Oryza sativa Japonica Group: one gene and its partners. Each later gene encodes a partner of the first gene's protein in a complex. Links are inferred from orthologs where the notes say so. Each region holds a gene or a part of one and is shown on either strand. Other genes may lie near its edges. The genes, in order: mediator of RNA polymerase II transcription subunit 17, mediator of RNA polymerase II transcription subunit 4, mediator of RNA polymerase II transcription subunit 23, mediator of RNA polymerase II transcription subunit 21, mediator of RNA polymerase II transcription subunit 25, probable mediator of RNA polymerase II transcription subunit 26b and mediator of RNA polymerase II transcription subunit 8.

What was found.
Region 2: mediator of RNA polymerase II transcription subunit 17 (region 1) and mediator of RNA polymerase II transcription subunit 4 share a complex: the UniProt entries of both Arabidopsis thaliana proteins name them as parts of the mediator complex. The link is inferred for Oryza sativa Japonica Group from reciprocal best matches to the Arabidopsis thaliana genes AT5G20170 and AT5G02850.
Region 3: mediator of RNA polymerase II transcription subunit 17 (region 1) and mediator of RNA polymerase II transcription subunit 23 share a complex: the UniProt entries of both Arabidopsis thaliana proteins name them as parts of the mediator complex. The link is inferred for Oryza sativa Japonica Group from reciprocal best matches to the Arabidopsis thaliana genes AT5G20170 and AT1G23230.
Region 4: mediator of RNA polymerase II transcription subunit 17 (region 1) and mediator of RNA polymerase II transcription subunit 21 share a complex: the UniProt entries of both Arabidopsis thaliana proteins name them as parts of the mediator complex. The link is inferred for Oryza sativa Japonica Group from reciprocal best matches to the Arabidopsis thaliana genes AT5G20170 and MED21.
Region 5: mediator of RNA polymerase II transcription subunit 17 (region 1) and mediator of RNA polymerase II transcription subunit 25 share a complex: the UniProt entries of both Arabidopsis thaliana proteins name them as parts of the mediator complex. The link is inferred for Oryza sativa Japonica Group from reciprocal best matches to the Arabidopsis thaliana genes AT5G20170 and PFT1.
Region 6: mediator of RNA polymerase II transcription subunit 17 (region 1) and probable mediator of RNA polymerase II transcription subunit 26b share a complex: the UniProt entries of both Arabidopsis thaliana proteins name them as parts of the mediator complex. The link is inferred for Oryza sativa Japonica Group from reciprocal best matches to the Arabidopsis thaliana genes AT5G20170 and AT5G05140.
Region 7: mediator of RNA polymerase II transcription subunit 17 (region 1) and mediator of RNA polymerase II transcription subunit 8 share a complex: the UniProt entries of both Arabidopsis thaliana proteins name them as parts of the mediator complex. The link is inferred for Oryza sativa Japonica Group from reciprocal best matches to the Arabidopsis thaliana genes AT5G20170 and MED8.

What each region holds. Positions count from the first base shown.
Region 1 is NC_089046.1:28,095,916-28,100,025, reverse strand, and holds the start of mediator of RNA polymerase II transcription subunit 17, read right to left. Parts: upstream 2,801-4,110; 5' UTR 2,595-2,800; coding exon 2,506-2,594; intron 2,419-2,505; coding exon 2,220-2,418; intron 2,124-2,219; coding exon 2,010-2,123; intron 1,847-2,009; coding exon 1,761-1,846; intron 1,675-1,760; coding exon 1,296-1,674; intron 1,098-1,295; coding exon 636-1,097; intron 560-635; coding exon 239-559; intron 1-238. UniProt on the Arabidopsis thaliana protein: Component of the Mediator complex, a coactivator involved in the regulated transcription of nearly all RNA polymerase II-dependent genes.
Region 2 is NC_089043.1:25,716,283-25,719,689, forward strand, and holds mediator of RNA polymerase II transcription subunit 4, read right to left. Parts: upstream 2,142-3,407; 5' UTR 2,067-2,141; coding exon 822-2,066; 3' UTR 501-821; downstream 1-500. Other genes in the region: histone-binding protein MSI1 homolog, read left to right, coding at 2,319-2,942. UniProt on the Arabidopsis thaliana protein: Component of the Mediator complex, a coactivator involved in the regulated transcription of nearly all RNA polymerase II-dependent genes.
Region 3 is NC_089036.1:31,045,629-31,049,860, reverse strand, and holds the start of mediator of RNA polymerase II transcription subunit 23, read left to right. Parts: upstream 1-1,432; 5' UTR 1,433-1,510; coding exon 1,511-1,660; intron 1,661-1,746; coding exon 1,747-1,790; intron 1,791-2,182; coding exon 2,183-2,282; intron 2,283-2,365; coding exon 2,366-3,340; intron 3,341-3,860; coding exon 3,861-4,098; intron 4,099-4,232. Other genes in the region: GDSL esterase/lipase At5g37690, read left to right, coding at 1-12, 114-361. UniProt on the Arabidopsis thaliana protein: Component of the Mediator complex, a coactivator involved in the regulated transcription of nearly all RNA polymerase II-dependent genes.
Region 4 is NC_089042.1:2,025,008-2,029,120, forward strand, and holds mediator of RNA polymerase II transcription subunit 21, read right to left. Parts: upstream 2,763-4,113; 5' UTR 2,648-2,762; coding exon 2,324-2,647; intron 2,023-2,323; exon of another isoform or gene 1,940-2,022; intron 1,803-1,939; coding exon 1,731-1,802; intron 1,458-1,730; coding exon 1,406-1,457; intron 1,292-1,405; coding exon 1,215-1,291; 3' UTR 1,204-1,214; intron 735-1,203; 3' UTR 501-734; downstream 1-500. Other genes in the region: major pollen allergen Ole e 10, read left to right, coding at 1-57, 150-175. UniProt on the Arabidopsis thaliana protein: Component of the Mediator complex, a coactivator involved in the regulated transcription of nearly all RNA polymerase II-dependent genes.
Region 5 is NC_089043.1:12,252,243-12,255,742, reverse strand, and holds part of mediator of RNA polymerase II transcription subunit 25, read right to left. Parts: intron 3,487-3,500; coding exon 2,764-3,486; intron 1,647-2,763; coding exon 1,593-1,646; intron 1,226-1,592; coding exon 1,197-1,225; intron 565-1,196; coding exon 496-564; intron 392-495; coding exon 307-391; intron 1-306. UniProt on the Arabidopsis thaliana protein: Component of the Mediator complex, a coactivator involved in the regulated transcription of nearly all RNA polymerase II-dependent genes.
Region 6 is NC_089039.1:20,347,261-20,351,296, forward strand, and holds the start of probable mediator of RNA polymerase II transcription subunit 26b, read right to left. Parts: upstream 2,801-4,036; 5' UTR 1,976-2,800; coding exon 1,385-1,975; intron 1,285-1,384; coding exon 1,216-1,284; intron 1,127-1,215; coding exon 1,044-1,126; intron 793-1,043; coding exon 737-792; intron 642-736; coding exon 517-641; intron 412-516; coding exon 384-411; intron 303-383; coding exon 1-302. UniProt on the Arabidopsis thaliana protein: Component of the Mediator complex, a coactivator involved in the regulated transcription of nearly all RNA polymerase II-dependent genes.
Region 7 is NC_089037.1:18,123,615-18,127,873, reverse strand, and holds the start of mediator of RNA polymerase II transcription subunit 8, read right to left. Parts: upstream 2,801-4,259; 5' UTR 2,629-2,800; coding exon 2,405-2,628; intron 2,282-2,404; coding exon 2,157-2,281; intron 1,380-2,156; coding exon 1,255-1,379; intron 1,150-1,254; coding exon 966-1,149; intron 831-965; coding exon 723-830; intron 510-722; coding exon 442-509; intron 122-441; coding exon 1-121. UniProt on the Arabidopsis thaliana protein: Component of the Mediator complex, a coactivator involved in the regulated transcription of nearly all RNA polymerase II-dependent genes.

The DNA of each region.
Region 1 (4,110 bases):
GTAGGTCAATAGGCACAAATGAAGATTTCCTCAGGGAAAAAAACTAAGAAAAATGCATTACCATTGTGCATTTCACATTCAAATGCAAGGAGTTTATGTTACACATTTGCAATGCAAGAAATAGTCTGGCTCATTGCATTATCAATGGACCATAATGAATTCCAATGGTAATAACTTTAATAATTTCATAAACATGATCTACCAAGAAATAATTTAAATAGTATCATCAGAAGTTTACCTGCTGCAGAAGCATTGTTGGGAGGTCCTCCAAGTCACAATTGTAGCTATTTACCAAATATCCATCGGAGGGCTTCCCAGTCAATGATCCAGCAATGCTTGGGGAGCCTTCACCCATTAGACTAATTTGGCTATCTTTCACGATCACCTTAGTATTGAACTGTGACCTGGATTTGTACTTAAGTTCATGGTTATCAGAAGGCTTTGCAATCCGATCTGCAGCAAGGATAGGCTGAGGAACTTTCAAGCATAGAGACCAGGAGGAAGTTCGAGAATGCCAAGTAGGAAGAGAACGCAAATGGAGATATGGAACCCTGCTGACCTGCAATACAGAAAGGAAATTTAAATAATGATCTACATGCAAATATGTAGCATCAACAAGCTTATAGGAGCTATACCACACTCTCAAGCTCCACGAGTACTTTGTTAGAAAATATCCTGTGAGCCACTGTCAAGCAGAAATGACCTAGCAGGCCATAATCATCACCTGCAACCTGAGCAGGACTTTGGTAGCGACCAATGTTAAGGGATTTCTCCCTGACCTTCCTAAGAATGTTCTCATGAAACAATTGTAGCAAGTAAATTTCCAGACTTCTGGGATTAGGAAACCCTGTCACGTCTTTTCTTAAAGGGTCCAGCTTCCCATTCATAGTGACCAACACAAGATTTGAGGCATCCTCTGAATTGGCATGGTCTTCATGGTCTACCATTTCTGAGTCACTACCATCTCCAGAATGAGCAAGCGAGAGGCACAATGAACATTCCTGACCAATAGCTAATTGGAGAAAATCTTCACGCATTCCAGTCACATTGATGCCTTGAGATTGGACAAATGTCTCACGGATCACCATATCAAATACCTACAAAGGCATACACTAAGCTAAGCCACAGAACGATATACATAAATAAATAATGATAAACCCGGGGAGGGAGGGGTGGTGGTGGTGCAAGATGTCATCACATGATATACAATAATTTTCCATGATGCTATAGTTAAAACTTAATTAAGAGCATTCTATACAGGAATTCTTAGCATGCCAAGCAAACACTTAGCTGACCTGCTCCTCAAATATTGACTTGTGGATGTTGCGAAGAATAGAATGTGCATGTTTGATGGATTTATTGACATCATCATTGTCTGTTTCAGAGGAAGTGATGCTTGAGATGCCATCTTTCAGTTTATGACCGTAGTTTTCCACACCATTGGCACTGTCCCCTCGAAAATTAAGACTCAAGAAACGGCAAGATTTTTGAGGGACTTGTACGGACAAAGTGCCTGATGAGTCTTGGTCAATTGGAATCAATGGTAATGATGACAGTCGAGGCATTGCTGCTGTGTCCAATTGAGAAGTGTCGATCAGATCAAACATGAAGCCCTCACTTCCTGGACCACTTCCACCAAACCGTTGCCGCTTCACTTTCCAGTTCTGCTGCAATCTGCCACCAATCCGCGAGTAATTCATGGTGCAAACTTGGGTGAAGTGGTATTGAAATAACAACTCAAGTTAAGCAACAAGACATGCCTGATTAATGAGCCATAGAACCTAGACTCTTTTTGGAACTGCTGCTCCATTGTTTTGGCAGATTGTTTGAAGTAGCGTGACAAATGCTGCGAGGACACAAATGAAGATCACAACAGGAAGCATGATAGATGCAAGACGGAAGAGGAAAGTGGCAAGCGATTACAGAAACAAATTGAGTTTGTTTTAGGTTCCATTTTGTTCCTTAGCCGTGAATTGAAGTAATCAAACATAGGCAGTAGGGTGACATACCCGAACGCGCTGAAGCTTGGTGGCTGCAGAGACTGCGGTGTCAACTAAGGTTTCGGTTGGCAGCGATTTGGGCTTGAGCATCCCAGCGACTGCCACTGCATCATTGGCTTCGACCTGCATTATCAAGTAGGATTGTCTCCTCTGTCAGGAATACAAACAATCGCATGCAAATAGAATGGGGTTTGCAGTATTGTGTGTGGGAAAACTGACAGTGGAGATGAGGTCAATGACGACGGAGAGCTCCTGCTGCGCCTGCTGCAGGCTCTCCATCATGCCCTGCCACGGCCATGCCTGCTGCTGCTGCTGCTGGGCGGTGTCCTTCTTGGGCTTCTTGGCGTCCTTGTCGATGACCCAGGAGAAGTCGATGCGGCGGATGGCGGAGAGGCGCTGCTCCTCGCTGCTGGTGTCGCTGCGGAATCCGAATCTCAGTGAACGGAGAGAGGTGGGGGTTAGGGTTTCAGGGGAAGGGAAGAGGTTGGTTTGGTTTGGTGCTTACGGCGGGTAGTGCTCGTTGCCGGCCTCGTCGATGGCGTGGAGGCGCTTGATGGGGAGCTTGTCGAGGTCCACCCGCACGGCTTCCTCCATGGCGAAGGCGAGGCAGCGGCGGCGGAGGGCTTAATTAGATCGGAGACAATTTTTTGAGTGAAGGAGGCACTGCCTTGGGGCTCACGAGTCCCGCTCAAGAGCGGAAGGGATCCCCCCGCGGGAAGCAGAAGCGGCGGCCGGCGGGGTGGGGGCGGCCGCCGGCGAGGTCGTCGGGCGGCGGAGTGAGGAGGAGCGAATTCTCGATCGAGTTTGGGTGCTGGACTTTGGAGTTTCTTCTCTGGAAGAGAGTATGATGGGCCTTTTTTGACTTTGGGCCGGCCTAACAAGTAAATGTTGCTGGGCTGGCCTGGACCAGTTCCAGACTTCCACTACTCCGAATGGGCCGGAGTTTCTTTTTTTATTTTCCATTTCTCAAGGCCCCTCGGGAGCAGGAATTATCTCCTAGCAATGGTAAAACGAAGGCTTATATCAGAGAGCTTTTTCTTATCAATGCCTACAAGACAACAAGGCCTGTTCTTCTGTTGTTCGTCCATGGATCACAAGTTTCAGGGAACAAAACTCTCTTTGGTGCCGGTGGCAATGATATTCCAAACTCAACCGCAAGTTGTGATCAATCTGCAACGTATCAGGGACGACGGATATTTCACAAAATAAGTAGTAGTATGTCGATTCTTCAGTCCAGCTTCTGAATTCCAGGCCTTTTGAAGTTGAGCAAGCAAGTAAATTCAGATAATCTCTCTGCAAACCAACTATACAGTGAGTGACTGAATTTCTACTTGCGCGGATCGATGTGCCAGAGCATTGCCAATCACAGAAACAAGTTGCAGATGAGATTGTCATACTAGCTTACAATCAATGCCACCATCCGCTCAAAACTCACAGCAATCAATCACAACCTGAAGAAACAATGAGGACAAACCACTGTCCACCGGATCGAGTTGGCAAAACCTGGACGACCAAGGGGGTTCGGAGAATAAAACTCCGACCCCTATTCATGAAAAAGAAAAGCACCGCAAACAATTCGTATCATAATTCTTGCAGGTAACACCGTAACACCATAAGTTTGAGAGAAATGCGCCAAATACAACAAATTTGGCGATTTGTTTGTTTTCTCTTTTTCAAAGGTAGCATATAGATTTGCCTTGATAATAGTATCAACAGATGCAGCGCTATAACCATATATACTCCATTTCTTCTCCATTCCCTTGCTTCATTGATTTATGACATACTCAGAAAGACTAAAATAAGCATCAATTTCACACTTCACAGGCCTGTTGTTCACAACTACTGAGCTGCTGTGTTATTGTATTGCTACTAATCAATACCAGCATCTCTTTAGAAAAATCATTAGCGATACACAGCTTACATTTTATTGGATATCACTGTCATTGTATCACATCCACTCCTCCCAGATCAACATATGCAATCATCATGCCTATGCCAGTTTTTTGCATGGTAAATTCTACTACTACCAGTGGCCCAGTGCCATGTGATGTCAACCCCAACAGCTTTGTATATTATTACCCCTTATTATAAACGCATCATACTCACTATT
Region 2 (3,407 bases), on another chromosome or scaffold:
TTGAATTGGGAAAAAAAAGTACATAAAGATGCGATATGCACCAATAAAATTATAAAAGGAGTTACTTCTGATGATGCTTTGGCAGTTCTAACCCATTTGAGTCAATTACTACTTTATCATCTGCAAGATAAGCTCGTGAATGAAAACTAAGACCTATAGTACTAGTATCATGTTTGTAGTAGGAAGATCCCCCATGCTGTGCAATAAGATAGGAAAAATGGTGTGTTCATTTAAGTGCAAACTTACAAGTTGAAACCACTCCCTTCTCATAACTTATATAGCTTGAGTTATAGAACATTCTTGAGTTTTCAGCTACCACTCTTTGGTACAATGGTATAAAGGTTTTCAAACTATATTGCAGCAATAAGAGGTACAGACATAAGGTAAAACAATGAGAAAAATTAAGCAGAGTGCATGAACATGGAAGTCATTACTTGATTGAAAAGCCCATAACCAGCTAGCAAGCCTAGCAAGCAATTATGACTGAAACCTGTAATCTGTGAAGAAGGGCATCAAACATTAAACACACCATGTTCAAGTTTAAATATCCATAAAAGAAGCCATGTTTCTGACGATACAACACCAGCACATCCTGAGGAAATTAGACCATCATGCTTGATTACATATATCGAAGCAAATTGACTAGTGAGATGGTTTAATTAATCAACACATACATGATACGCCACCCAATTCTATTCAATACCAGTATATTGCTGCATGATCTTGAATAATCATGTATGAGAGCTTGCATTATTTGTTCTTACTAGTACATGACCTACAACGGCATGGAAACATGAATCATAAAATAGCTTACCAAGGAACTAATCCTCATCATCTTCTTCAGAGCTCCCGACGTCGCTACTGTACTCATCACTGCTAGAACTATTGTTAATGTCAAGATCAACATGCCGAACCTGTATCGGTTCTTGTGCCTTCGGCACCATTGCTGGCACCACAACCGGCATCTGTTGCACACTGGCCCGTGGCTCCTCACCCTTGACACCAGCCAGAATGCCATCCGGCGGTAGAGTGATCGGGTCCCCGGGTTTCCATCCAGGCGGCGGCAACGGGATTTCGAGAGGCAGCGCCCCGTTCCGCCACCCATGCGGATGCGGCACAGTGATTGGTAGCACAGCTGCCTCCTGGGTTGGTGAAGGCTGAAAAAGCGGAGTGGCATCTCCCTCTGCTGCAGTCCTCTCCTTTGCTTCCTGGGATTTCGGCACTCCAACATCCAAATCCGCAAATTGATACAGCTGCGACATCCTCATCTCATTTTCCTGAGGAGCAGGCGGCAACGCCCCACGCAGAGGCAGCCCAGCACCATGCTCAGGCGGCGCGAAGGTCGTGTAGCTTATGCGGTGGGCGTACGTCAGGACGTCGTCCAGGTTGAGCTTGGAGTGCAGCGACGCGCCAAAGTCGCCGTCTGACACCGGCTCGGGGTCGTCCGCCGCCGCGGCGCCGCGCGGGCGCTTGGGGTCGCGGCGGTAGTCGGCGTAGTCGTCGACGAGGCGGTCGAGCACGTGGTGCGCCTCGCGGAGCTTCTTGGCGAAGGCGAGGATCGAGGCGTCCTTGGCGCGCGCCTCGCGGGCGAGGCGCGCGCGCGCGTCCTGCAGGTCGAGGGTCTCCTGCAGCTCGGCGACGGCCTCGAAGAGCTGGGTCTGGAGCGTGTTGAGCAGCGACAGCGCCTCCTTGGTGGAGGAGATCGGGGCCGGGAGCGGCGGCGGCGGCGCGGAGGACGGCGAGGGGAGGAAAGTGGGGAGTGACCCCCGGTACGCCGAGATCCACGCGGCGCGGCTCGGCGAGAGCTCGAAGAGGTTGGAGGCGAGCGCGGAGATCAGCTGGAGGAGCGCCTGCGCCCGCGGGAGCGGCGGCAGGAGCGGCAGCAGCGACGGCGATGTAGTTAGGGTTGGTGCAGCGGCAGCGGCAGCGCCCACGGCCGCCGCCGCGCTAGGGTTGCCCTGCGGCGGCGAGGAGGTGGGATTCCCCGCAGCCGGGTTGGGCGGGAGCGACGGCGACGAGGCCGTCAGCCCCAGCCGCGCCGGCGAGGGGTGGTGCGACTGCATCATCGCGGCGGCGGCGGCGGCGACTGCGGATGCAGGAGACGGACGCGAGGCAGAAGCTACTAGACAAAATTTCCTCTTAATGGGCTAATGGGCCTCCAAATTGTATTATATGGGCTTTACGGCCCATAAAAGCCCATTAACTCGGCCATAAAACACCATCTCTTCTGACTCCGCCGCATCGTCTCCCCAATCTTTTTGGCGGGAGAGCACCACAGCGCCGCCTCCACTTCCCGCGCAATTCGCAAGAGAAGAGCCATGGACGGCGGGTCCTCCACGGCGGCGAGGTCGTCGGCGGCGGAGATGGAGGAGCACCAGAACTGGAAGAAGAACGCGCCGGTGCTCTACGACCTCGTCATCTCCCAGCCGCTCGAGTGGCCGTCGCTCACCGTCCAGTGGCTCCCCTCCCACTCCCGGTCGCCGGGCTCCGCCCGCTCCCACCGCCTCGTCCTCGGCACCCACACCTCCGACGAGACGCCCAACCACCTCCTACTCGCCGACGCCGCCCTCCCGCTCCCGCCCCGCCTGGCGGCGGCGGCCGCGGCGGCGGGCGGTGCCGTCCCGGCCCCGTCCGTGTCCATCTCCCGCTCGGTGCCGCACAAGGGCGAGGTCAACCGCGCCCGCTGCATGCCGCAGAGGCCGTACACGGTGGCTACCAAGACCTGCGTGGATGAGGTGCACGTGTACCATCTTGGCGACGGCGGCGAGAAGGGCGGCGCCGATGTGGTGCTCAGGGGGCATGAAGCGGAGGGGTATGGGCTGGCGTGGAGTCCGATGAAGGAGGGGTTGCTGCTGAGCGGCTCGTATGATAAGAAGATTTGCCTTTGGGATCTCGCTGCTGGGAGTGGAGCTTCGTCTCTGGATGCACATCATGTGTTCGAGGTAATGCGCCGTCAAATGCCCCCCTCCCCTCATTCCATTTTGCAGTAAACATTTACAGTCGTTAAATGTTACATTATACGATGCAGTTGAGCAATGATTCGTAATTCATAATCCAATTCATTTAGTAAGGATGCTTCGATTGTTTCTTCCCCTTTTTTTTTTCAGTAAACAAATTTTGATCTGCCAGATCTCTTAGTAAACAATATTGAAATAATGAAATTGAACTGTTTCTGGTCTTTCCTAAATGTTGGAAGAGAATCATTATAACTGAAATAACTGCACAATTCCAGAGTAGATAATTGCACTGCGTAGGAGAAAGGACACAGCAATTGAATAACTAGTCGAGAAGAGAACATGGTTCCATTTCCATAGCTGCATTTTAAGCACAAACAATCATCTCTTGGTGTGAGGAACAATTCTATTATGCATAAACAGATCACTGAGTTTTTTTTATGTGAGCGTTCT
Region 3 (4,232 bases), on another chromosome or scaffold:
CCGAAAAACACGGTAATTAATCAATCAATCAATCAATCAACGCAAACTTCCGGCGCGTGTCGGCGGGCGTGTCTCACCGTTGGCGATGCGTGTGTGCGTGTGTGTGTGTGCAGGGTTCACGACGGCGCACACGTCGTGCTGCAACGTGGACACGACGGTGGGGGGCCTGTGCCTGCCGAACTCGCGGCCCTGCAGCGACCGCAAGGCGTTCGTCTTCTGGGACGCGTACCACACCTCCGACGCCGCCAACCGGGTCATCGCCGACCTCCTCTGGGACGCCATGCCGAGCGCCGGGAGCGGGGGCGCCGCCACCACCCCTCTCGCCGCGTCGCCGGCGCCGTCGCCGTCTCGGGCGCCTTAGTTCACCGATCACGACGTACTGTAGTGTGTCAATTGTGATGTGTACTTTTGTAGCGCCGTACGTGCTCGTTCGCGCGGATTGTTCTTGGAAGCGCCGGTGCTGGGTACTAGTAGCTGGTCGAATTCACAAAATTCGTTCAAATTATGTTTTTGGGACCATCCCAATGGGACATATCAGATGTGTGATATGTAGGATCATCCTTGAGTTCAATATACTCCAATATTTGTAAGAGTCCTAGCATCGATGCTTTTCGTTTTATCACTCAAAGCCAAAAATTAAAATTTTAAATTTAATTTCATAGTAGTTTTTTTTATCGTGATTTATTTTCAGCATTGGTTTTTATTCAATCTCTTCTCTATCTCTATTATTATAAAAATTAAAGATGTTTTTGCCGGTATTTTGGTACGTCATCCGTATTTGAGTCGGTTTTTAAGTTCGTTCGTTTTTGGAAATACATATCCGTATTTGAGTTGGATTTTAACCTTGTTTCCTTTTGGAAGTATAGAAGGAATCGTATAAAAAATCTTTTGAAAAAACTCGCATGCTAACTTGAGATGAAATACAGACTCCTAATTGCAGCTCATGATTTTTTTTAAACAATAAATATCAAAGTGAATTCCCACATTGAATTTTACCTTAGCTAAATTGTGTAACAATAATAAAATTAAAATAACATTTACTTGTTGCAATGTACGTGTATTTTTTCTAGTAAGGACAAATATATTAAAGTTTTAATATAAAATCATCACGACTTATAATTAGCTGTACGTAAAATAATGAGACCAAGCATGATACTACCTATTCCACCTACGTTAAAGAAAAAAGAAATGAAAGGAGTATATAACCGGATGGTATTTGGTAGCTTTCGATTATATGGCCACTAATTTGAACCACAAATATACCAGAGAACATGTTTTTGTTCTGTTTCAATTTCAATTTTTCGACCCAAGAGAAAGGTAGAATGCATACCAGCGGTCTGGATCCGTCTCCATGCAGCTGAGACTACACATCCCACCGTCCGTTGATCTGTTCCCTTTCCCCCAAACTGCAAGAGCTCATCAGGTCAGGTCCGCCACACTCCTAAACCCTCGGTCGGAGCAAGCCCACCGCACCACTCCAGTCGCCGGCGACGGAAGCGGCGCATCGGCGATGGACGGGGCGCACGGGCAGAGGCAGCCGATGTCTCCGGCGATCTCTGCTTCGGCGGTGCTCCCGCAGCAGCGGCAGATGCAGCTCCACCACCACCACCACCACCCGGCGCGGTCGTCCATCGCCGATCTCTTCACCCTATACCTCGGCGTGCGTGCCTTGTCTCTCCTCCCCAATCTCTAACCGTGGTGCACTTGTGAACGCTAGCTCAGACCCTGGGTTTCTGTGATTTGCAGATGAACTCGAAGCAGCGGGTCGAGGATCCAACTAGGGAGACCTCGTAAGTTTGATTTCCCACTTGTTGGACTTCTAATTGGGGATTACTTTTTAGGGCTAGCTGGATTGCTCGAGGGCTCGAGCACATGAAACATTATGATAGGTTAGGTCGGATTATTTTGTCCTTGTCGTTCGCGCTTTGTTCAACTTTACCTTTGAAGGCGATGGCTTCTGCAATGTCCGGAGATTTTTTTTTTGAAAGGAATTCTGGAATATCCGGAGATTATTGCCGCAATTTTGGAACTAGTGTGCTGTACTCTAGCGGTTTTTCGTGCCTTGTTCATTTTGATATATGGTAGTTTTTGGACAAAATTTGATATGGTAGTTTGACGATGGAAGTCAATTCAGCAAGCTTTTCTAAAACTGTAATGCATAATGGGCATTGAATTTCCTCAGGAACAAGTTGCAGAAGAGAGTAACTGCTATGAACAGAGATCTGCCTCCCCGAGATGAGCAATTCATTTCGGATTTTGAGCAGTTGCACATGCAGTTCCCAGTAAGCAGAATCATTACGCAAGTACTTTTGTTTATGTCATGAGAACAGAACAAATTTATTATTTGATTTGCATGTTTCTTCAGGACCAAGAGCAGCTGCAGGCAGTTACGGAATCAGTTCTCATCTCATTTGTCCTGCAGTGTAGTAGCCACGCCCCACAATCTGAGTTCTTGCTCTTTGCCACACGTTGCCTGTGTGCTCGAGGCCACCTTCGATGGGACAGTCTCCTTCCTTCTCTACTTAATGTAGTTTCCTCCGTGGAGGTACCAATGGGGCAAGGGGTTTCTGTGACTACTGGTGGCCCGGCAACATCTTCTTCATCAGCTATTGCAGTGCCAAATGCCCCAAGCTTTCACCCTTCAAATCCCACATCTCCATTGTCAGCAATGAACACTATAGGATCTCCCACTCAATCTGGTATCGACCAACCCATAGGTGCAAATGTCTCACCCATTAAGGGAGCAGAATTCTCTAGCCCTGGACAGCTTGGTCTGACAGCTAGAGGTGACCAGTCTCGCAGGGGAGCAGAAATTAGTTATCTGCATCACTTATCCTGTAGAATTATTCTAGCAGGGCTGGAGTCTGATTTGAAGCCAGCCACCCATGCTGTGATATTCCAGCATATGGTAAATTGGCTTGTTAATTGGGACCAGCGACCGCATGGTGTGGACCAAGCTGATGCATTGCAATTGCAAACCTTGAGGCTTGAAAGACCTTTGCATGAATGGATGCACCTATGCTTAGATGTGATATGGATTCTAGTTAATGAAGATAAATGTCGTGTTCCATTCTACGAGCTTGTTCGCAGCAACTTGCAGTTTCTCGAAAATATTCCTGACGATGAAGCACTAGTTAGTATTATTATGGAGATCCATAGGAGGAGGGACATGGTATGTATGCACATGCAGATGTTGGATCAACACCTTCATTGCCCAACATTTGCAACTCATCGGTTCTTGTCGCAATCATACCCAAGCATAGCTGGTGAATCTGTTGCTAATTTGCGTTATTCTCCCATTACTTATCCAAGTGTATTGGGAGAGCCGCTACACGGAGAGGTGATATTACTTTTCCCCCTCTTTACCCACCTCTCCCCTTTTAAGTTTGCCATTGAACCTGTATGCATTGACTTTGTACTTGTGGACTGAAGCTCAATTTTTATGTTCATCCGATATGCTCTGCACATATTTTGACTGCATAGAGATATTGCAGTATTCTTTGACCACATTGGGGCTACGAGCCTACGAGATTGAAATTAGTGTCGCAAAATGGCTGGAATATCCTTGCAAACTCTTTAGGATTGTTGTAGTATCCTCTAACATTAACAGGGGATGACATGCTAACACATTTTGTTTGAGTGATCATGAATAATTTCACAGGAGGGAGAAATAAACGGAAAAATCGCAAAGCATCATAACATGCAGAGGCAAAATATATTTTGCAATTAAATTTCAACACACCGCATGTTTTTCAAGGATGGATCAGGAAAATTGGCAGGAAATGAATAGATAATTGAGCTATTAGTTACTAATGTTGGTTTGGGTAGGATCTGAAATCTGATATAACTTTGTTGTTTAGGATCTTGCAAACTCCATTCCTAAAGGGGGTTTAGACTGGGAACGTGCTTTGCGTTGCTTGAGGCATGCACTCCGCACAACTCCGTCACCAGACTGGTGGAGGCGTGTTCTTCTTGTTGCTCCTTGTTATAGACAACATCCTCAACAATCATCAACGCCAGGAGCTGTTTTCTCACCTGATATGATCGGTGAGGCAGTTGCTGACAGGACAATTGAACTACTGAGGCTCACGAACTCAGGTTAGAATTTGAAAGTTAACCATTTACCTTGTCAATATAATAAAGTTCCTTTTTCAAGTGGACAGCTGATGGGAATATAAATTTCAAATGTTCTATTGATGCACCCTTTTCACTATTTTTTCTTTTAGAACGTG
Region 4 (4,113 bases), on another chromosome or scaffold:
GGAACTCATGGAATTGCTTCTTCAACGGCACTGGCCTCATCACCATCACTGATCCCAGTAAGTATTAGCCTCTTCAAAGCTTGCTTCACTTGCTGTTTCTTTCACCTGAATCCTGCAAATTTACATGGCTTTCTTGCCAACCTTTGCAGGTTCTGGCAATTGCAAGTATGCCTGAGTTGAGAGTTTGCTCCAAGTTAGCCAGCCAATCTCTGGAGCTTGACAAATAAAGTTTTCAAGGGATGTTTTGTTTGTCCAAGTGCCCCTAGAAAATATGGTGTTCTATATTTCAGTGTCAGAGTTGCTAGAATTCAAGTCATGTTTAGCCTCAATGTTTGGGTAATCTTTAGAGAGGAATGCTTTATACCGAGATAATATTGTTCCATATCTTCAGTGCAGTTCTTCAAAGTTCAAAGAGTATGAATCCTAGGCATGTCTTAATTGTATTTGCATAGCACTATATGGTCCTGTGCTGCTGTGAACGAACAGTGGCCCAACTATAATAAATAAACATGAAGTTATGCTCAAATTATTTCAGATTAAACGAACCAGCTTGAAACTATTCAAGTTACTGTAAATTACAGTGCTAGGTTTAATTCCTAATCCAACAAGTACTACTGGAATATTGTTGAGCATCAGCTAACTTGATACTAAAACTGAGTCTACATGTAGCATCGGCAGCTGGCATTCACATCTCCACCTTCATCTGTTCATGACTCCAAAATGGGTTCCGTTACCTGATATGACAGGAAAGCAAACATAAGTCATTTTAGTGATACTACGATCATACGTAACAACACTGTGTTGGAATTTTCTGATCAACAGAAAGACAAGCCCCCAGAGGGTTTTATGAAAGCATCTTGCGAGGGATTAATATAACAGGTCAACATCCACCATAATTATGTTTTGTTCAGGCCATCATCGTACATAAACTACATAAACCAATAATTGATCATGGACATGATGCCAACAGCCATCTAGTAAATGGTGCATGTAGAATATTGTACTGCAAAAAGCACCATAAGAACAAAATTGTTATCAGTATCCTGACTTCCTGATAATACAGTGTACCAAGTTTGGGAAGTCAAGCGGATTATACAGCTGGTCACAAAATAATCCCATATCATAAGCGCAAGCATAATTTTTTGCAAGCACAAAAAAAGCTAAAGATTTATTGAGATAGTGAAGGGAGAAATCCAAACTTACATTGATAACTATTACTCTGGCTTCTTCAAGTTTATACAATGATCTGTAGCTTCATTAAAAAGAGCCTCAACTTGCTTCAGCTCCAGCTCTACAAAAGCAACAAGACATGTAAAACACTGGACTTGTAAATAATCAGTTGTAACATGGTGAGGAATTATATAATGAAGGCAAAATATTCCAAGAATGTAATAGCAAAGCATACCAGCAGCTTCCAGTTGTTTCTGAAGCTCTGTGCCTACAACTTCATTCTCTGCCTGCGCATTTCAAATTCATAAGCATTTTAGCTGCAGGACACAAGTATCATGAATACTGATACTATGGCAGGACATGCTGCCGAGCGTCTGCTAAACCTTCATTCAGAAGAAAGCAAGCGACTAAGGAGGACAACCTTAGTATGAAACTCCATCCACAAGGCGTAGGAAAAAAAAAACAGAAGGAAACATGCACAAAGATACCATCTTCACAAGACACTAGCTTAATGTCACCCTTTCACAATGTACTGCTCAGAGGGCAAAACTGAGACATACCTGTAGCTCTTTAATTCTTTTCAGCTGATCCTCTTCAGATGATAGTGGCAACGCAGAAACAAGAGCATCAAACTGCATAAAAAAACCAAAAAAAAAAGAGAACGGTATTGGAAACAGTAGCTAGTAGCACATTTCAAGTGTACTCTCAGATGCAAAGTTTGCCCTCTGGAGACAGAGGTTGGTGTGCTGCATACCATCATCCCACCTACATTTTGCGAGGAACAGTACAAAGATTGGTGTGATCCACATCATCGTCAACCCTTCTTTGCGAGGAATAATATGAGTGAAGCTCCTATTTTGCAGATCCATTCAAAATTATCTCGAGAGGGCTAAAAAACAGCACAATGCAACTAAAGTACTCTACCACACTACATGAACAATCTCACTATAGAAGATATGATTCTGTAAGTAGAAGAATTTTCAAAGAACCAGGCACCCTGACCGTGGTTGCAATCACACAAAAATGCTAAGGCTGGTCACACCAAAAATTACAGTCCAAGCCCTAAAGCGTCAGACCCCAAGAACCAGCAGGCACTCAGGCATTTCATCGAGCAGGTGGCAAGCAGAGAAGATAAGCGACGGAAGACGCGTACCTTCTTGGCGGCGAGGACGAGCGCGTGGCTCATGGCCTTGGGATGCTCGGCGAGGTCGAGCGCGGGCGGCTGGGCCTGCGCCGGCGGAGCCTGTGCCTGCGCAGCCGGAGCTCCCGCCGCCGCCGCCGCCGCCGCTCCAGGCTGCGGCTGGGCGGGGTCGTCGGGGTTAGGGTTTGCTGCTGCGGCGGCGGCGGGGTTGAGCGGGTCCGGGTAGTTGTTGGAGAGGCGGACCGGCGGCGCGTCCCGCTGCAGCGTCCCGAAGGTGTTCACCGCCACCATCGCCATCTCGTTCAGCTGCTCCTGCAGCTGCGAGATGATGTCCATCTCCGGCGATCTCGTCCCCCTCCTCGCCGCCGGCGACCTCCTCCTCCTCCTCTTCTCCCTCTCCTTCTCTCTCCTCCTCCTCTCTATCCACCAAGGCCCAATTACATCTAGGCCCATCAAAGAAAACTGGTGGGCCCAGCACATCGACAGTGCGCAAGCCACTCTCTGACTGGCACGTGGGCCCATGGCTAGCTTGATTACGAAGGAACCAAGGGACCCCACGCGGAAAATTGCATCACATCACCACCACGCGTCCAGATCTGATCCACACACAAATGGATCGGACGGCCCAGGATTAAACCAAACTATTACTAACAATTAACTCACCCGATTAGTTAACACTAATTGAATCGGACTTGGACTCTAATCTAGACTAATATAAAAAGCACGAGTTGTTTAGTGTAATTAACACCATGATTGCAATTAGCGCCGGATTAATCCTGCGGTTACAATTAGCACCGGATTAACACCGCGTCTTGCTCCGAAAAAAGAAACTGCACGCCAAAAAGAACGAAAAAAAGAACGCACGCCAGCCACGCCGCCCGCCTCACCTGCCGCCCGCGTGACTTCCCACCTCGCCTCACCCGACCATGCCAGGCCTCGCCGCCGCCGACAATGTGACTTCCCACCTCGCCTCACCCGACCATGCCGGGCCTCGCCGCCGCCGCCGACCATGAGCCTCACCCGCCGCCCGCGTGACTTCCCACCTTGCCTCACCCGACCATGCCGGGCCTCGCCGCCGCCGACCATGAGCGAACTCCACGAGCAGCGCCAGCGACCGACCCACGCTGCCCGGATCGGAGGCGAAGGACAACAGCCCGGGGCCGCCTTCATCGACGCCGTGCGCGCCCAGTCGATCCACGGGAGCGCGGCCGCGGCCGCAGAGGCGGCGGGGGAGCGGTAGGTGATGACGTGGACGCGGCTCCTCGTGCTACCGGCGAGCGGGACAGGAGGAGGAGGAGGAGCGCGAGGGCGGACGCGGCGGCCGCGGCCACGGAGGGAGCCTATCATGGAGGAAATGGTCTGAGGAGGAGGAGGAGCTAGGGTTGTCGCAGCCTCTTCAATGGTGATCTCCTGCAGGAGGCGAACGGGAGCAAGTATCAGCAGCAGAAGCTGGGTGGTGTGCCCTCGTCGCAGCCGCATCATCTGAATGTGAGTGACTCCACAAGAACGAGAACCCTGAATTGAATCTGACATTTACCATTGTTCTTGCATCATTCATCCAGTGGTAACGTTTTACATGTCTTGGATTGTTGGATGACATTGATTTCAACACTGGAAAATTGTTGTTTTTTGCTTCGGGACAGCAGCAAGTTACCCCAGCATTGACAGCCTGCAGATCGACCACAAGCCGGCGACTGCGGCGGGACGCCAGTTCGGCTCGGCCTCCTCTCCTCCTCCTCCGCCGCCGCCGCCTCCGAACCATCCCCAACGTCATCCCCTCCGAGCACGGCCGCGCCGCCGAC
Region 5 (3,500 bases), on another chromosome or scaffold:
TGCCCTCAAGCATAACAGCAGCCTACTTCTGTCTTCAATTATATTACATAATTTAGCAAACGGAATTCGGTTGTCCCATACTCTAGGTTGGCTGGAGACCCTAGGTACCTAGTCGCTGACTTGAGTGAGATGAGACAACATGCGGTGACACATAGGCACAGGGATTACAATGAGCCAATTAACAAAGCTTGGGGACTAATTTGACTAGTTGAAGGACCCATATGAGTGGCATGCAATAGATGTGGGACCAAATAATTGTGGCATGAAATAATAATAAACATTAAACAGGTTAAATTATGCACTGACCAGCTTCTTTTCCTGCAGTTGCCCAAGGAAGCCGTGCTGATTTAATGTCCGAAATACTAGAAAGTCTGCTTTTCCAACATATTGTCTGCAGAATAAACAAATAAACAAAAACAAAAGAGAGAATGATTCAAATTATGAGAATGTAGAATGGATCATTTTTAACATGGAAATGGAGTGGCTGAGACAAACTTATTGTTCATATGCTCCTGAGCTATAAGGCGCACAATCTGCATTGTTTCAGGCCAGTCTGCTGCAAGTCTGGACAAAGAAGGTACATGTTCAGTGCAAGGGAACGACATTATAGAAGGTACATGTTCAGTGCAAGGGAACAAGACATTTCTATATTAGGCAAAATATCCTATTAGGAATTTTGCAAGATCGGTTTGGAGGTTCCATTCACTTAACAAGATTAAGGCACTGTACTACTCCCTCAGTCCTATATTATAAGGGATTTTGGGTGGATGTGACATATCCTTAGTACTACGAACCTGGACATAGGATATGTCACATACACCCAAAATCCCTTATAATATGAGACGGAGGGAGTATAAAGCAAATCCACAGCATTCATTGATTATATCTAAAAACTTCCAACATTATAACTTGAGTTGCTTCCATTTTGGTCTTGTACCGTAGACCTTTTGTACAGTACAGTTTATTTTTTAAAAACAAGCAATGGCTTAACTAGTTGTTGCATGGAACAGAAACTTGTGAATACCAAGCAGCTACCAATCAGCCATTGCTCCAGTTCTTCTACAAAACAATACTAAAATAGGGCATACCGACATTGGGTGATTTGTTGGTTCGAATACAACCATTAATAGACACAAAACAGAACTACAAAAAAAAAAAAAAGAATGCAAGAACATTGCAACAATTCGAAAACTTACGTTTCAGATGCTGTTCCACTCCTGTAACCCTGTGAGACATGCTAAAAGTCAGAAATTTAACTAAAGTATATGCTTTGTGCAGATAAATGTGTTGAAACAAAAAAAAATGTAGGACAAGTAGTTACAACAAAAGGATAGCCACTATATTCCAGCTATAAAGGTGCACACTGAAACTATGAAATACATAATTTCATTTCAGTGACAACAGAAGATTTGAACAATCATGATCGTACAAATAATATATACAATTCAGGGATTCTTGTGATCTTTTTTTCTTTCTGAGACAGTCAGCTTCAAATGGGCATAATAATGAGCAAAGGTCATCTGTGTGGGCAGAGTTAGGGGGGTGATAATAGTCGGAGTCACAGACAATTCATCCAACAAACAGAAACTTACTTCAAGTTTACAGATAAATACAGGTTGTCCTTGCCTTTGCCCAGATAAAGTTCCCTGAAATAAAAATAGAAACATTACATATTATGCATCCACAACAAACAAATCATATATTGACTGATGATACCAGTATCATCAACATAGGCAACTTGAGACACGATAAATAGAACATAAAATTTACATTACTAATATATAAACAACCAAAAATGACACGGAAAAATAAGCAGTTGACTTCAAACTAATTTAGATATAATCATGTGCTCGTATGTTAGCTCTTTTAGGGAAGTATTCTTCATACATGAAATGAATGTGGTATGGATACAGCCATACAGGTTCTTATGCACTTAATTGAGGTGTCCTTGCACACGGAGAGACAATACCATCGAAGCAGCTGCACCACAACTCCACAAGGACAGGGGAGAATAGATTAAAGACTAATGTTAGTTTCTTACTAACTAGACCCTTCAACACCTTTGCTAATGCCAACAGATCAAGGCGATTTATGTGTCACCTTGATGCCGCAAATGACCTGCCCCTAGAGACACGTGGCATGTGTCTATAGGGTATTGCAGAATAGTCGCACCCCTTCCACCACCAGCATGGTTCATGGTACGAAGGGGGCCTCTGCTGAGGTTGATTTCTAGACTAACACAGTTGAGGATGGTAAAATAGGCTTTACTCGGATGAAAAAATAATCAGCATCTTCAATGGTGGGTCCACTACTTTCTTCTTTGGTTAATAGGACATGACTCAGCACTTGAAGTCAAAAACACTGCCACAAAGGACAACACCAGGCTGAATTCCCAGAGGTCAACCTTCAAATTGTTGTCTTTTTATCTCAGGAAGGCTTTCTCAAGGAAAAAGCAGGTTGGGAACTGTTAAAAGGCCAAAAAATAAAGAGACTAACTCTGACCATTCACAGCCCTATCTCATCTGGTTGATTAGCAGAAGGGTTTAAATAGTTCCTTTTTTATTTTTGAGGCAAACGATTTCAATAGTTGGGAGGGTGCATATATTATTGCAGCTCATGGTCAGAATTAGAAAAACATTAAATTACATGTGTGTCATACGGAATATTTCCTTTTATATTTAGCAAACAACTACTAAGCTACTAGAGGGTTGGAGGGTAGAGCCAATTGCTACATGGATGCTAGACAAAGACAGAATCTTTTACCTCCCAAATTTTGACGTACTTCGGCGGTGGCTGCTGCTGCTGCTGCTGTTGCTGTTGCTGTTGCTGCTGCTGCGCATTAGGATGCTGCACTATAGGCATGTTCATGGCAGAACTGTTGGTCACACCAAGAGAATTTACACCTGCCTGTTGAGCCATCCCTGGTGTTGGCATCATTGCAGGTGCAGAAGAGACAGTTGTTGTCCCAAGGCTACTTATCATATTTTGGTTTGTATTGATTCCACCTTGTCCCAATTGCGTACTACCCATTGAACCTCCCTGTGTCACAGGAGGCCCTGATATACCGATATTGCTTTGGATGCCACCCAAAGAAGATGACACAGCAATATTTGAATTGCCTGTTATGGGTGTGTTTGATCCAAAAGCAGTGTTTTGTACGACTTGTTGACTACCAATTGACTGTCCTGTTCCAGACATAGGGATGCCAGGCATTCCACCTGATATAATGGTTGCCACTGACCGATGCTGTGATAGATTGTTGAGGATGCTGACATTTGCTGGACCACCAGGTCGAATTGACTGTTGGATAGGGTTTATTAAAGGCTTATGTTCTTGCACACTATCATTTGCAAGATTAGTTTCCTGTGAAATAAGGGACGGTGAGGGACTTTGTACTGATGATAATCCTTGTGAAACACCATTTGCAACAGGTGTTACATGCGAGAAAGCAGGTGCAGAAACCATGGGCGGTAAAGTTGTTGGCTCCTGAAAGTGATGAT
Region 6 (4,036 bases), on another chromosome or scaffold:
CTTCTGCTGAGGAGCTGCCCTTAATGGTCTCCCAGGTCCAGAATCAGAACTCAAGGGCTTAGATTGCTTGTGAAGCATGGCCTGCTGTTTGACTTGCAAACTTGAATTTTGAGGGGTTTGTGGGTTAGCCTGCCTCATTGATGGCTCTTGCCTTGCCAATTCCGGCCTCCTGGATTGAACTTTTTCAACAGCTCCCATGTTACGGGGAGGCTCTTGCTTTGTCAAAGCTGGATGGCTTGTAGGCCTCCTGCCATAATTTTCTCTCTTATTTCCAAGGCTCCCATCATTGTTATGTCTCAAGTCTGTCATAAAATGTATAACTTGAATTATTATAGTGCACAGAAAAAAAAGGGAAACTATGTAATTTGAGTTGTTGTACTTACTTCCATCTTCATCCATTTCATCAAAGAACTTTAGGTCAGGAAGATGAAGCAGAAAGAAAAACAACAATGCAAAGTTAGAATTGTGTTCTGGACCAAAACAATCCAGATACCAGGAACAAACAAAAATTAGTACCTCAGAGAGTTGAATAGCAGTAGTCTGGGTTGCAAAGAACGCCCCTTCATCCAGAGGTGGAGAAGGAAGCCCTTCATCATCAGCATCATCGACAACAGATGTTTTTGAAGAGCCCGGGGAGTTGTCTACAGATCAAAAGATCCATTACATGTTAAGAGGTGAACATTCACTTACAAATTGATGACTCATACGCGATATGAAACAAAATAACTTTTATTACCTGTAAGGGCAACATTAGTGGTGCTGACCCACTCATCAACCAAAATTTTCCAACCTCTGAAAAAAAAATGTTTTAAGACGTCAACAATGTTTCCAAAATTGGTTAATAACCACACTACAAATAAGGTAAATAATTCACTCAAGTAGTACAAAGACTGGAGAATACAGAAGCTAAATCAGTAGACTCGTATCATGTTTTCAGAAACTTATAGGTACAGTAGAGTATCAATTTGCTTCAGCAAGTTCTCTAAATTAAAAGCTAGATCAGCCCTAGAGAATGAAATTTAGTGCAAGCATATTGAACTTACTCAATGAGAGTGCGCACAAGGTGACGAATTTGCTGCGAGTTGTGCTTCCGCAGCCCATTAACAGCCCTCCCAATCTCAGTAGCCTACAACAAACAACATCGGAGATTAGCAAACCAAACAGAACCACTATGCGTCACTCCGCATAGCTCATATGCGCTATCCAACACAGTACCTTCAGCGTGGAAACGGACAATTGCATCAGCTGCAGCCTCCTCAGTGATTCGAACAAAGTAGCATCCGACTGCGAAAACCACAGTTGAGATCAAATGTTAAGTCCCTGTTGAGGAATGGCACAACTCTTACTCATGGAAGAACTGAAAGCTGGGAATAGTTCATCATACATGATCTTCCTTGTGCAAGAAGAGGTCCTTGATGCGGAGAACCTCGCCGACGACCTGTGACTCCTCGTCGATCTCGTTGGTGAGTGCCTCAAGCTCCACAGCCTCGGGGTCCAGCTCTTGTTCTTCGTCCTCTTCAGCCGGCGCCGCCTCCTGCTCCTCCTCTTCCTCCTCGTCGTCATCATCGTAGTTGTGACCGTAGTTGCTCGCCGCGGCGCGGCGGAGGCGCTCGTCGTCGGAGTCAGAGTCAGAGTCGTCATCGACGTCGTCGCGGCGGCCGCCGCCGCCGCCGAGGGCGCCGTTGCTGCTGCTGTCCACCTTGCTCTGCTTCTCGGGGACGCGGCGCACGCTGCCCTTGTCCTCCTCCACGGGGGTGGCCGGGGTCGGGGTGGCGGCGCTGCCGCACCCGTGGTGGCAGGGCGGGGCGCGCGGCGCGGTGAAGAGGATCTCGCAGATGCGGTCGCGGCGGCGCAGGAGCTCCTGCGGCGCGTCGGCGGCGGCGACGAGGATGGCGTTCTCGATCACGTCGCAGATTCCGGCGGAGCCGGCCGCCCCGCGGAGGAGCTCGCGCCACCGATCCAGCCGGTCGGCCATCGCCGCCGCGGCCACCCGAGATCGGGCTCCCCCCACCTCCACCTCCACCCCCACGACTCCGATGGCTCCCCTGGCACCACCAAGAATCGATGCCCTCTCTCGATCACCTCCTCCTCCTCCTCCTCACAATCTTGAAATTTCTTTTTCCCCTTATCAGATTACGTTGCACCAAAAGAATCTAATCCAACCCGATCGCGAATCAGATGCCCCCCACCGAGGGAATCCCCCAACCGGGAAAGCGAAATTCTCCCGAGACAGCGAAAAATCAATCTAACGAACACCGCTGCCTCTCCTCAACGCCAAGAACGAATCAATCAAGAAGAGAAAACCCCAAAAAAAAAAAACAAATCAATCCTCACACCACCCAAACCCAATCTCCCCTCCCTTCCTTTGCTTCACCCCCACGTCCACGTTACTTGACGATTTCAACCCAACAAACAAAACAGCTCCTAACCAAATCTTATCTGTGCCGTCGCCGCCGCAGGAGGAGGAAGACGACGACGACGAGGGGGAGAGGGAATGCGGGGAGGGGGGTTGGATAGGGACGCGGCGGATGGCGAGGCACACGCAACGCAAAAACGAGAGCCCACGAGAACTACGCAAGCTCGACTCTACCAAACAACAACAACTACTCCTCCTCCTAATTCCCCCGCACGCACACCACCACCACCACCATGGCCTCCTAGTGGTAACAACAAATCTCGCGTCTCCCTTTCCCAACTCCTTCCGTTCGTCTCGTTCTCTCTCTCGCGCAACGGAGGTCGCAGCTTTTCTCGGTCTAGGACTTTCCGGGGGGGCCCTTTTTTTTACCGGGTTTGGGGACACAGCCACACAGGGCGAGGTCACTACGGTTTTGGAGAGGGAGGCGGCCTCGTGGCTGTTTCTCGGCTTTGACCCTGTCGAGTTGTTGGTGGGATGCAGGTCCTCTCATGCAGTAGGCTCCCTGACATGTGAGCCCTATAGCCCCTCGGGCCCACATATTAGTGAGCAGTACGGCACATGCAGTACTGGAGAGGATCTCAACTGTTGTTGGTGGGAGTGGGACTAGTACTACTCTTTCCTGTAGTGTTTGGTTGGTAATAGTAGCATTCGTTTTTTGTTTATTGGGCTAATGATTCCCGTTTGATATCCACTTAATTCAAGTTTAGTTTTCAAACTTGGGTAGGTGAGCATCATCTACCATAATATCACTGTTATTATATAATAGGATCATCCTCTTATTTGTTTCATATATAAGTGTCTATAGTATGTGAACCAGTTGTATGCACGTACCCACCTCCATCCCAAAAGAAAAACTCAACTTACGAAGGATTGTCCATTTTTAGATGAATAGAGTACTCTCTCAATTCTATAAAAGACTAAATTAGTACGAAATATGATATATTTTAATACTATAAATCTGAATAGACGTTCAACACTATGTTATTTTTTTTATGGAACCAAGAAAATACGTGCATGCAACCGTAGCCGCCGTAGGCCACTCAAATTTTAAAAAGTAAACTTGGATTGTATCTATATAAATATATTTGTGGTATTAGAATGTGTCACGTTTCGGTAATAGGGTGGTTTTTTTATGGAATGGAGAATGTGCTTTAGGAGTACTATTAATTGTTGAGGCCCAATGGACTATTTTTGGCATCATTTTCGAAACATGGTGCGAGGAAATAGTATTGGATTAGTAAATGCCAATCGATGGTTTGATATAGTATAGCACAGTAGTACACCGTAGGATCAAAGAAATATTTATGCTCTGTATAGCTTCTTCTTTTTTGAATAGAAAAAGAATGGAGTACTTTTAGCATCCTTTTCAAAACAAGGTGCTAATGTAGTAGCGAAATCTTGGATTAGTAAATGGCGATCAAGATTGATTAGCAATATACGCTGTATCATCAAAGAAAATATTTAGGCGGCAAATACTCCTTTCTATTTATAAAAAACTGAGCTATCTATTAACAGTGAAATTTGATAATCGACAAAGGCGTCATCGGCTTAGAATCATTATCGGCTGTAGCATCTCGGAATCAGCCGATGAGAGTTATCAAGTCACCAATAGTCGAATTC
Region 7 (4,259 bases), on another chromosome or scaffold:
TCCCTGACCTAGGGGAGTTTGCATATGGCATTGGAGGAGTAGATACATTTTCAAAATTAGGCGTTCCTGTAGCTCCAGGTGATGGAGCAGGTCTGCCAAGTAACTGTCCTCCAGACACCTGCTATTAGAATGAAGGCCCAAATTTGAACATCAAGATAGAAACATCAAAGGCCTGCATGAGGTCAGGTTGGTGATTGCTCTTATGAAATGCAATTGTCTTAATAATAGTTCAAGGGAAAGCATTCTAACCAACACTTAATACAGTTGATCATAGAAAGGAATACCAATATACCATTACAAATTATATGGCAAATTGATACACGGGAAACAAAACATCTGCCTTTTGTAACTTTTTTTGCTTTCAGCCCAACTAGCAATAATATGGACATATTCTATTAATTTCGTAATGGTCAAAGCTGTTATTACTGGCACTAGACAAACCTGCATTGGATTTCCCTGGGCGTTGACAACATTAGGTACAAATGTTGAGGTATTTTTGGGGTACACACCTGCAAGTATAGACTCTAGTTATATGCTTTTGTTGAAGCATTGTGTGACATACAGACTGCACAAATGGCAACACTAAGGGTAGCAGCAAGTTATTGATTATTTTTATATAAAAAAACATCTAGAGCAGATGAACAACTCATTGATGCTATAGTTCCAATGCTCAAAACAAGGAGTGAACCATGGAGAATTGTAGGTATGTCACAGAAACAGACCAGAATTATCACCAAAATTATGTGCCCCATCTCCAAAAGGAAGTACGTCCACTAAATGGCTAGGAAGAGATGAATACATCTGCCTTTGGTCTCCCGGTACACGCAATCCTGGATAATCAGACTAAATCATCATGGACTATAAACAATGAAATTGTTACATAAAAGGAGAAGCTTATGCTAAAATTAAATTCAAAGTAATTTTTAAACTGATAGCTATATTAATACACCATTAATGCTTATCACCTTCACCATAATTTACCGCTGCTCTAAGTAGGCCTTCCTGCTCCTGTATCTTTGCAGCCTGTGCCTTGTCCAATGTAGGACCAAGATTTGCCCCCTGACGGGCTCCTAGACCATAATTCTTGCGACTTTCAGCAATTACTTTCTCAGCTGTTTCACATGCACTTCCAATCATATCTATCCTAGTCTGAAAGGAATAGCAGCAAGTCCCATTAAAATTAACAGATAATGAAAAGATCACGCAGGTATAATAAGCTACATAGGTTTGCATTTTCCAGACAGAAATAATCACCTTTAACTTTTCAATTTGTCCAGAAACTGTTAGATTCGTTATTCCAGACAACAAGTTGTCCCTCTTTGTAGCTTCTTCAGCTTCCATCTCAGGTAACAGCTTTGACGACAGCATTACAGGCAGTACTGCAGTACTCACGAATATCAAACAGGACTAACGATGTGGTAAAACTAGAAGCAGATGAACATGGGAACACAAATTGCGATGCATCCCAACCATATACAGCAACCGTGACCAATTAGCATCTTGTTAGGTCATTTTTAGATTCCTATCACACTTATCCCAGAAATAGGAAAGTGTTGACAAAAATGGCTACCCATGCTACATTAGGAATATCTTTACCAATTTACCCTAGGATAAAATTCGTTTAACTAAAGCCAATTAGCCATATCAGCCTGAAGTTTAATCTCAATATTTAAACCAAAGGAATAACTATTGCTAGGAAGTGAGAAAGGTCAACAATTGGTTCTTCATGTGTAAAACAACTCGTAAAAGAAATGACATGTATATATATGAACTACTCATTACCAAATGCAGCATAACCATAATATCTCATATATCCTTGTTGCTCATAACAGAAATCACATAGTATATTTCTTGGTTCTCATAACAGGTGACCTGTCTTCTCATCTGGCTTTGGGCACCATTGAACATGAGAAGACTCTGTTTGGTAAGGTCATGGAATCAAAAGTGGTCTGCTTAGCTGGGTAGCGTGTAACAGCTGCCCAAGGCAATATTTTGTGAAGGTTTGAACTACGCAGAGCAATTCCATTCTACATTATGTTCATGTATTCTTCTTCCCACAAACTTTATGCTTGTGGATCTACCTAACTAGTGTGGTTATTACTGATATAGCGATCGATTGGTGACACAAGAGAAGAGAAGTGGAACAGCAAGCATACTGGCAGCGTTTTCGGCATTAACGTTTCGGGGGTAGACCACAAACACCTTGGACACCTTCTTGATGTCCTCCACGATATTGAAGAGCTCCATGCTCACCATCGAGAATTGCCCAAGCACATCCTGCCTGCCATACACGCACCACGGCACGAATCAGCATTGCATAAACCCTAGAAAGGGGAAGCTGAATCCTCTACAGAGTCCAGCGGGCGATCGGGGGATGGGGGAATGGAGGTGAGGCAAGTACTACCACTTGGGGGAGGCGTTGGGGTTGGCGCGGGCGATGGCGTCGAAGTCCTCGAGGATGCGGGAGATGGCCTTGTACAGGCCCACGGCGCGCGCCCGCATCCCCTCCAGGTTCAGCTGCTGCTGCACCCCGGCGCTGAGCCGCTCCGTCCGTGGCTGCTGGTCCCCTCCTACGGGCGCCGCCGGGTTCGGCGCCCCGGCGGCCGCCCCTAGCGCCGCCGCGTCCATCCGAGCTCGCCGGATCTGCTGCGTGGAGGAGCTCGCGGGAGTTGGGGGGCTTCACAGGAGGCGGAGATGGCTTCACGCCGGCGGCGGAGGCGGCGGAGATGGGCCGTCGGAGTTAGTAGGGCGGCGCCGGAGAATTTGAGTGTTGGAGAGAGGGAGACCGCGAGATGAGGACGGGAGGGGGAGGTGGTTTTTCCCCGTTTTCACGAAAACCGGTAAAATCGGCTCAAAGTTTGTTAAAGAAAAAAAGAAAAGGTTCGCTTTGAATATTTTTTTTCAATAAAAACTTACCAAAGAAAACCGAGCAATTTGTGTTGTCCTGTAAACCATGGGATACGAGCGAAATAGACAACAAGCCTTGTTTAGTATCCGGAATTACTTCATAGTAATAGGATACGTTCCATTTCATGTTATGTTGCTTTATATTGAGACGAATGAAGTAGATTAATTTATATATTTCACGAGGAAATTTTTTGATTTTTTAACCGTTAGATTCGCTCCAATATTCATGTAACTGGGGATGGGAAAAATGAATTTTCTTGGAAGAAACACTTCTGATGCTATGATAGCATGGTTTTTTAATGTAGTTACATATAGTTAATATAATTTTATTATAAGTAGTGAAGTCGTATAAGTTGTAATGGGAAGTACTAAATTTATGACAAACATTACATGATTAGAGTTCATTTTATGACATGTTCTATTTTTTGTCAATTAGCTCCAACATAAACTCATGTTTTGAGCAAACCCCAAACATCAATATTTTGGTCCCATGTTATCTCCTTCTACTATTGCATAGGCCAATTTCATACTACCCCTTATAAGGTTTTAATCCAACCCAGACATAGCGTTGTATGTACTACAAACAACAATAAATTATAGTAGAGTATTCTTGCTTGTGAACACTGAAATCATATCATTTAACTCCTTATATCTTAAATCTCAAGTTTTGTTGCTTTCCATAAAATTGAGGACAATGCTAACAGTAGGAGCTAAGATCATGGTACTATTTGTTACTTTTTTTAAGTAAAATATATGGCCGGTCTCTAAACTTGTGTTGTGCTGTTACTTAGGTTCATGAACTTGAAAATTACACGTTTAGGTCCGTGAACTTGGTTTAGGCTGTGTTTAGATCCAAAGTTTAGATCCAAACTTCAGTCCTTTTCCATCACATCAACTTGTTATACACACACAACTTTTCAGTCACATCATCTCCAATTTCAACCAAAATCCAAACTTTGCGCTGAACTAAACACAGCCTTAATGTATCACCTTGGTCCAAACGTCCTTTGGCTGTGTTTGACCGCCAACGTGGCATGCCACGTAGGCAACACTTTCGCTCTCAGCTCCCTCCGCGTCACAACACGTCGCATATATCTCCTTGTAGCTATATTGTGACACCAGAATCCCAAAAAAGAAATCCTCAAATCGCTTTTCCCTCTCATTCTTCTCCCTACATGTACAGAAAATACTCATAATACCACAGGATTTCTACACTTTGACTATTATAAATACGGGATGTTGTGGCATTCACTATAAATTTAAATTTTGTTAATTGAATTTACAGTGCAAGGTTACCATCTAAAAGGAAGTTTTGTCTAGTAACTTCTTCCCTGTATTAGTAGTCCTCTTGC